Linked DNA regions of Oryza sativa Japonica Group. The main gene of each other region encodes a partner of the protein of the gene in region 2 in a complex. Links are inferred from orthologs where the notes say so. Each region holds a gene or a part of one and is shown on either strand. Other genes may lie near its edges.

Region 1 (4,039 bases), on a different chromosome or scaffold from region 2:
TGGATGTATGGGGCGTCATCAAGATGAGGCATATGTAGAATGACATAGATAGCCCAATGGCACTTCCCCAGACACAATAATTGGTAAACAAAACTCAAATCTAGCACATGAAGATCATTTGAACTGAAAGCACCGATAGCTTCCAGAATGGAACACTGATGCCAGATCATATGGTAGTCCAAGGGATCATATGAAGATGAGAATGCACTGAACATAGTTTTTAGCATCCCAAACTTCTCGTCTTGATTTGCATGAAGCAGCATTAGATAAAAGGATATGTCAAAGCGGTCACCTGGGGACCATTGAAGTGACTCATCAAGGGGTCCTTCATCTATATATACAGGTACAGGATATGGGACTTTGCCCTCACCAAGGAGCTGGTGATAAGAGTGAATGATAATATCAAGTGATGCATCAGGTGATAGTTGATACCACATTATTAAACCAAGGTACCGTTTCCAGTCAATTGATGAATCTACCAACGCGCCTTGTACATTACCAGAAAGCAACTCATATATCTTTAACCTGTCTTCCTGAATATAATCAAAATCCAGACCATTTGTTTTCCATAGATCCAGTTGCTGAGAAAGGTCAGAACGATTTAGCATTGACCCACCTGCCTGGCTTAGCAAAATTGCCAGTCGAACATCACCCCTAAAGGCAGCAACTTCTGTGGCTGTGTCTAATTGCCGACCAGTCAAAAGCAGAATAATATGTTCCAGATACCTGGCATCATTTAAGGAGCCCGCCTCTCCTTGAACCCGATGACAAACACTGTCCTGTAACCAATTGCTAAAGTCTGCTCTTCTAACCAAAGGGAGTGCTTCAAGGTCTATGGCAACAGTACCTTCTTTCTTATCTAAAATCATCCCCTCCTGGTCCTCATCACCAGTAGGCTCTAACTGGTTACCAGTTGCTCTTTCTGAGAACAAGACCCGAATAAGCTCCCAAACTGTAACCTGGTGCATTAACAGCACACGAGAAGACATAGATAAATCACTGACTTCAAGCTGCCTTTCAATGATGTCAATATAAGATCTGCAAATATCTGGCAACACAAAGCGACTTGCCACAACCTTCTGAAGCTTCAATTTAAACAAGTCAGACTCAGTCTCCAGATATTCATGATGAAGCCTCCTATGGAGATCCAGCGGGTCTGAGAAGCACAGATCAGTCAGCTCCTCCTTAATTTTGTTCTTCTCATCACGTACAACTTTGTCGCCTGCAACTTTCTCTATGTGAATAACAGAAGATAGACCAGTTCCGGGTCTATTGACAAGACTGCCAGAATGTACAAGGATGCCATTTGGTCCCCAACCAACACGAAATGACCTGCCCATAAATAAAGCAGCATCCACAACACAATTGGAATATACGTTCCCAGCCACAGGAGTTTCCTGATCAGATGGCAACTTAAAGCCATCCACCTTGGTCATTCTCACTGGAAATCCCTTGTTTTGCCCAGACATAAGAATACCATGAGAAGATGGGCCATGTTCTGAAGAATTTACACTGTATTCCAGCAGAGCCTGTGGTTCTCTCCTACCAATTACACCAGGTCTCCTGCTGACTTTCAGAGAAGAACCATGCAAAGGAGAGAGAGACCTTAGCCTCAAACCTTTAGCACTTGAGTTCGGTGAATCCACATTCATCTTCTCACTGCTGAAGTATCTCTGATCAGATGGGAATCCATCCTCCATATCTTCATCACCTTCCTCATTGGAGAACATCGTCATCCGCATTTCATGCATCTTTGCAGGGTCAAGCCCAAGATGAGCAGGCAACGAACGTGAAAGCTCCAGCTCATGACCATTTGCAGGTGGGTCTCTTACTTCCGCAATAGGCTGCCGAACAACCACCTCATCCATCACAACATCCTCTTCCTCCTCGTCCACAAGACCGAATCGACTAAAATGATCAACCTCGAACTTCCACCTGCCGCTCGAGTGGTTGAACGAAACGAACCTAGCGCCTTGCTTTCTCGTTTGACACTTAAGCAACTCCCCAAGAGCGCTAGGCTCTGGAAGCACGCTCAAATTCAGCATCAACGTCACTTCTGCTGGCTTATTAAGACCTTGCCCTAAAGGCGGCTTGCTAGCCTCATCCTTGTAAACCTCCACAGAGTGCCTACCGAACTTAACGATCCCATTCAGGTCCATCCCCCTCACATCAGTGTCACCGGGGAAGTGAATTCGCCCATACCCGACCCTCCCGACGACGAAATCCGGGACCCTGCTGCAGTAGCCAGGGTCAGCCGCCTCCCTCTCCACCAGCTCATCGATCGACGGCTTGGTGAAGTAATCGCCATGGCGGAGCACGGGGAACACCGGGTCGGAAGACATGGCAGGCCAATGAGGCAACCGAGACAGAATCAGCAAGCCCTAGCGCCGCCGGACTTCATAGCTTCATGCGCAGCCAAGCCCTTCGCTCCACCAAACCACTCCAGATTCAGATTCTTCTCCTCACTTGGGAAACCAACTGCTGCAAACAAAATCCCCCAACAAACTGCAGGGGGTTCGAGAGGAGGAGAGATTCGGATTAGATTTGAACAAGGGGAATGAACTGCGGGTGGATCTCCGCGCGGAGACTGCGCAGGGGGTCGGGAGGGGAGGAGGGCTACGGGAGGAGAGCGGTTACCTTCGAGGGCGAGGAGGTTCGCCGGCGGGGAGGACGCCGCCGCAGCCGCCGCGAGGGGGAAGAGGAGGAGGCGGCGGCTTGAGCGGAGCGGAGCGGCGGCCGGCGAGGAGGAGGAGAGGGGGGAGCTCGCACTAAACCCTTCGCGAGGATTTCTGGGGCATCCGAATTATCGTGACCGTTGGATTGAGTGATGGAGCATCATCCTGCCGTTCATTTCCCACTCCAGCATCTCTTCTTACGCTTTCCCAAGTGATCCGAACCAGGGGCCAAAGTGAAAAGTATCAGACCTGTAGTACCAACGGGAGCGGTCCAAATAAGTAATAAGGGGGTAAAGCGAAAATTTATGGATCATTGCTAATGGTAGCGATCATAATCACTTAACCAGGGGCTAAAGTAAAAAAATTACGGAGCTTGATAGTGTACTGCTTTGATAGCAGTCCAAATAAAAGGACTAACGTGAAAAATGTTGTGGATCGCGTGTTACAAATGCGATTTAGAAATGGACTAGTTTGAGAACTTCCATGCTGGGGGAATTAGCGGCTCAACTCGGCAGCGCCGGCGAGAAGGTCAGTCTAGATTTATTATTACGGTTATTATTAGTCTTTTTGATAAATTTATTTTATAAATAGACCTCTAAAATATTCCATGAATATACCATTTTTCTCAACACCAAAGCTTATTGGCACCTTGGCGTCAATGACACTTCTACCGACACTCTTCCTACCATGGTAGCTAAGTTACTGATGTAAATAAGGTTTGTGTCAAAGAGACTAACACTGAAGGCTTATTTGTAAAAGGATTCGAAAAAAGGTTTAAATTTTCTCCAACAAAAGCATCGGCATCTTTAGCATCAAAGGACCTATATTTATTATAAAAATATTTTATAAATAGGTCCTTACACCTCTACATCTTGGCTGCTAGGGGAGCAAGGGTGTCGGCACCCGCGCGTTGGCACCGATACGTTGGACCTCGGGGGCTAGAAAATTGTCCATTTTCCTAGAATAATTTTTCTATGGTCTATTGTAAAACAAGTTTTCAAAAAAGGTCCACGTAAAAAATCTAGGTAGGCCGGGCGTTCGCCAACGATCCATTTGGCAGACAGCGGCCCATGCGGAATCAAGTCTTGGACTCGGGTTGGGAGAACTCCAGCGAGGTAAGAATATTATGAAATGTTCATCGTTTTCAGAAATGTTTAAGACACATTCGACTGCAGTCTGCAAAACCATATCTTGGTGCACAGCAAGCATATATCTTGGTGCACAACAAGCATACATTTATTAGTTTTTCTTTTGGATACACATGTTGCCCCTAAGGCCAACACTGCTTACAATCACCCATGGCCTTCTCACTGTTGCAGAACTGCCACTTTTACAATGGGAAAGCCACACCTACATGGTCCTTT
Region 2 (3,856 bases):
TCCTTCAGGTTTCTTACATAAACATATATTAACAGACATTGGAAAAAGTCTTGGAGAAAGAGAGAGATGATAATAAGAAAGAAAAAGCATTCCGCAGAAGGAATGAGAAAGTATTTACTACCGCCATTCAAAATATGAATCAGGTATTTCTTCCTCAACTAGCCTGAGTACAGTCTTGTCTTAAAAATTTTTTTGTTTATCGTCAGTTGGGTTTAGATTGAGCACCAAATTTATCATGGAACTACTGATTTAATACAGATTGTCACAAAGCTACACATTAAGTAGCAAATTTGTCACAAAGCTACTGGTTTATTGCCAATTTAATCCCAAAACTACAACGTCTATATCTTCAACATAACTGTAGTGCTAGGGATTGAAAATCTAAAATCTGTAGTTTTTTTATAACTTGAGCAATAAATCTGTAGTTTTGTGATACTTCTCCCTAAATCTGTACCTGATAGCTTTGGGGGAGTGGATTCTAATCCCTTGAGGGGATGTCCCGTCGTGTACCTTTTTCTTTCAAATTCGATACAAATAGTTGTAAAAATTTATGAAAAAAATTCGACCTACTATTTATATCTCTCGACGTGTGCGTTGCGTTTGGACCTAAGATTTTATGGAGTTGTATACTTATGTTGTATGAGTGTTGTCGATCTTTTCCAGAATTTTTCATAACCATTTGGATGGTTTTTAAGCAAACAAGGGGACATCCCTCGAGGGATCAAAATAGTTTCCCTAGTTTTGGCACTAAATGTATAGTTTTGTGATTTGTCTTAAATCCGTAGTTTGTGAAATTTTCTCCTTTTTTTTAACCGATGCAGTAGATTTTCTAATAAGAAAAGCCAAGGAAGTAGACATTAAGATAATGAAAGATTGATATGTTGACATGTTCACAGATGAACTTAGAAAAATGAAAAACTTAATGTGTTCTGGGATATACAAGATGAAACTTTTAAGTAGGATGTTTTAGTGTATTCTAGAGTTGGAAAGTTGGCATCATTATGAATGTTCTAAAGAATAAGTGCCATTTTAAACCTTACCAAAAAATTGGCAAGCCAAATTTTGGTAAAGTTTGAGTGTTTGGTTTATAACCAAGTTTTTGTCAATGTTGCTTGTGATGTATTGATTGTTTTTGCCAAAATATTGGCAACACAAAATCTATGGCAACAAACCAAACACACACATTTTCTTGCCCTTGCCAATTTTTTTGTATAGTTTGTTTGGGCTATAAACCAAATGCTAAGTGTTCATGTCCATTGCCAAACCAACCCTGAGTATTAAGCCTATCATTATGATCTACACTTTTCGTTACATTTTCTTCTATTGAATGATTTCTTAGAATATGAAATTTCACTGTTTAAAGCTTGCAAATGTAGCATCATTTGAGTTTGCTAATGGTTAATGTTTAGCATGATCACAGGCAATTATAGTACACTATAGTAAATTATTGTCTGGGGTTTGCTTATTGGCTTTTCAGGCCATGTCCCATTCCTGTGATAGCCCTTAATGATCAGTTAGCATGCATTGCAGCTTGCTCCAACCTGTTTCCTTAGTATTTACTCGTATTTGTTACCTAATGATACATGATGTGTACCTATTAAAAATGCAACATAACAACTTCATAGTTGCTTGTTTCTCCAATAATTAATCTGTCCTGCCTGGTTAGTGTGTGGTATATGCGCACCCTCTAATCCACTTGTTGCTTTCGAAAATTAATTGCAGGAAAGGAAACAAGTAGAGGAATCAATTGAGAAGCATAGGCAGGCTGTGAAAGAGGTGATTGAGGTACAGTTTATCTGCTCCCATAGATTTCATGTTTCATTATTGCTGCTGCAAATGAAAGTTCCTAGTATATTTTATTTAGAGCTTTGCTACAGCTGATGTGCGTTCTCTGCAGCATTATACTGGAATATCCTCTCAAATCCCATCTGGATCTGCAATCGATGAGCAGCTGCGTTCATATTTCCTTGCCATCAAAGCTGTTGAGGAGTCTCCGAGTCCCTTCCAAGATGGTGCAGCAAGCCAGACACCATCTGTTGAAAGTGCCGATGTGGATGCATCTGCAGCTACTGCAGGTTCCTTTCTGTTCAATTTTTCATTCCACGCTGCTAGTGTATATTTAATGATCTCTATTAGTTAATCATAGTATCTGTTAATGACATGTGATACTTACTAGTTCAGAAATTATATTAGATCTGATCTATTACATGTACTCTTGAACTCGATGTGAATTTGGTTTTGAATGATTTGGCATGTCAGATATTGTTCGGACTTCGGAATGTGATATGATATTGGATTTCTAATGCATCATTTTCTTGCATTGGTTCCATCGCGTGGATCTGAATAATGTGTTTTTCCTTTGCTTTACCGTCACTTGATCAATATGGTAGTTCATAAGGCTGCTGCTTTTTTTTTTTTCTAATCTCAGGGAGACAGGTAGCTACTCCACCAAGGCCTGCTCAAGTTAAAGTGGTGGAGGAGAGAGCAGTTTCTACTTTGCCCAAACCAAGCACTGAAGTACGTAGACCAGGAGGAAGGAGACCACTTGTTCGACCTTCACTTGAACGAGTTGAAGAACCCCAAGCTGATATTGATACAACAGTAGTTGAAGGTTCCACAGAGAAAGGCGGCTTGTTGATGGAGCGTGAAACTCCTGGTGGTGTATCTGCGTTACAGCCATCAAGTCGTAAACGTCTAATTCCATCACCACAAACGAGAGATGATGCTTCACAAGGAGAGACAACGGATGCCAATCCACCACTGAAGAAACCCAAAGAAGGATCTTCACAATGTACTAGTGAGCTAAAAACTGAACAGTCACCTCATGAAGATGTCATGGCACCTGTTCCTGTGCTACCATCTACAGAGTTAGATGAGCAACAGCCTGGAGAAGAGATGGACACCGATCAGTCTTCCTTGCCAGTTGAAGAGGTTGAGGAAACAAGGGAGGATGACTTGGGTGATAAGGATGACATGGAAACACATATAGACGCTTCAATGGACATCCAAGGACAAGATGCAGAAACTGGTATTGATAATGATGCAACTACTGTGGAAGATGTGCCAGTCAAGTCAGAAGCGGTTATGGAATCACTGGAGGAAGACCTGAAAACTGAGGATGGGAAGGAAGAGGGTCAGTTTACTGCAACCACTGATGTTGAAGATGAGAGGGAGGAGGGAGAGTTGCCAGATGAACCAGAACAACCAGACAGCACTCCCCCTGTGCTGGATGTTGGTGAGCAAGCCGGTGATTCTTTCAGGGCGGCATCTCCAGCAGGACCAACTGAAAAGAGTGATGTTGACATGCCAGAAGAAACTGGAGAAGGTGATGGTACCATGGAATCAGACCAAAGCCCTGTACCACAATCTGGTGGAGCAGATGCGTCACCGAGCCAAATGGCTGATGCGTCACCAAGCCCTGCACGTGAACCTTCTCCTAACCCAGTCCAAGCTGGTGCACCTCCTGAACAGCAGAATCCCACCCCTCCTAACCCAGTCCAAGCTGGTGCATCTTCTGAACAGCAGAATCCCGCCACTGCAGCAGAAGGTGTTGAAACTCGTAGTACCAGAACAATCAACCTAACTGAGAGAGCGAGGCAAAACCGGCAAGCCAGGATTCTTCGCTCAGCCACTCAACAGAATGCAAGGGGCCGTGGCAACCAGTCTCTTACATACAGGGTATGGTTTTATACTACAAGACTACTGAGTTTATTTCTGTTGTGTTCTATTTTTGTTATATCCAGTGTTAATTCTGATGGAGAACAATGTTTTCTATGTGCAGAAAGATGGCGGCCGAGGAACACGGGGTCGTGGTGGGCGTGGTCAGTCGTAGAGAATTTAGGTTTGTCTTTGCTCA

Evidence for each region. The genes of interacting proteins can lie anywhere in the genome.
Region 1: nuclear-pore anchor (region 2) and nuclear pore complex protein NUP96 share a complex: the UniProt entries of both Arabidopsis thaliana proteins name them as parts of the nuclear pore complex. The link is inferred for Oryza sativa Japonica Group from reciprocal best matches to the Arabidopsis thaliana genes NUA and SAR3.

What each region holds. Positions count from the first base shown.
Region 1 is NC_089037.1:3,868,832-3,872,870, reverse strand, and holds the start of nuclear pore complex protein NUP96, read right to left. Parts: upstream 2,801-4,039; 5' UTR 2,638-2,800; intron 2,506-2,637; 5' UTR 2,343-2,505; coding exon 1-2,342. UniProt on the Arabidopsis thaliana protein: Contributes to the transfer of mature mRNA from the nucleus to the cytosol. Required for both R gene-mediated and basal disease resistance. RNA export seems to play a critical role in stress responses and regulation of plant growth and development.
Region 2 is NC_089036.1:31,504,544-31,508,399, reverse strand, and holds part of nuclear-pore anchor, read left to right. Parts: intron 1-35; coding exon 36-143; intron 144-1,722; coding exon 1,723-1,785; intron 1,786-1,897; coding exon 1,898-2,075; intron 2,076-2,428; coding exon 2,429-3,678; intron 3,679-3,781; coding exon 3,782-3,832; 3' UTR 3,833-3,856. UniProt on the Arabidopsis thaliana protein: Component of the nuclear pore complex. Acts as a docking site for activities required for desumoylation and mRNA export. Required for the proper expression or localization of a subset of miRNAs.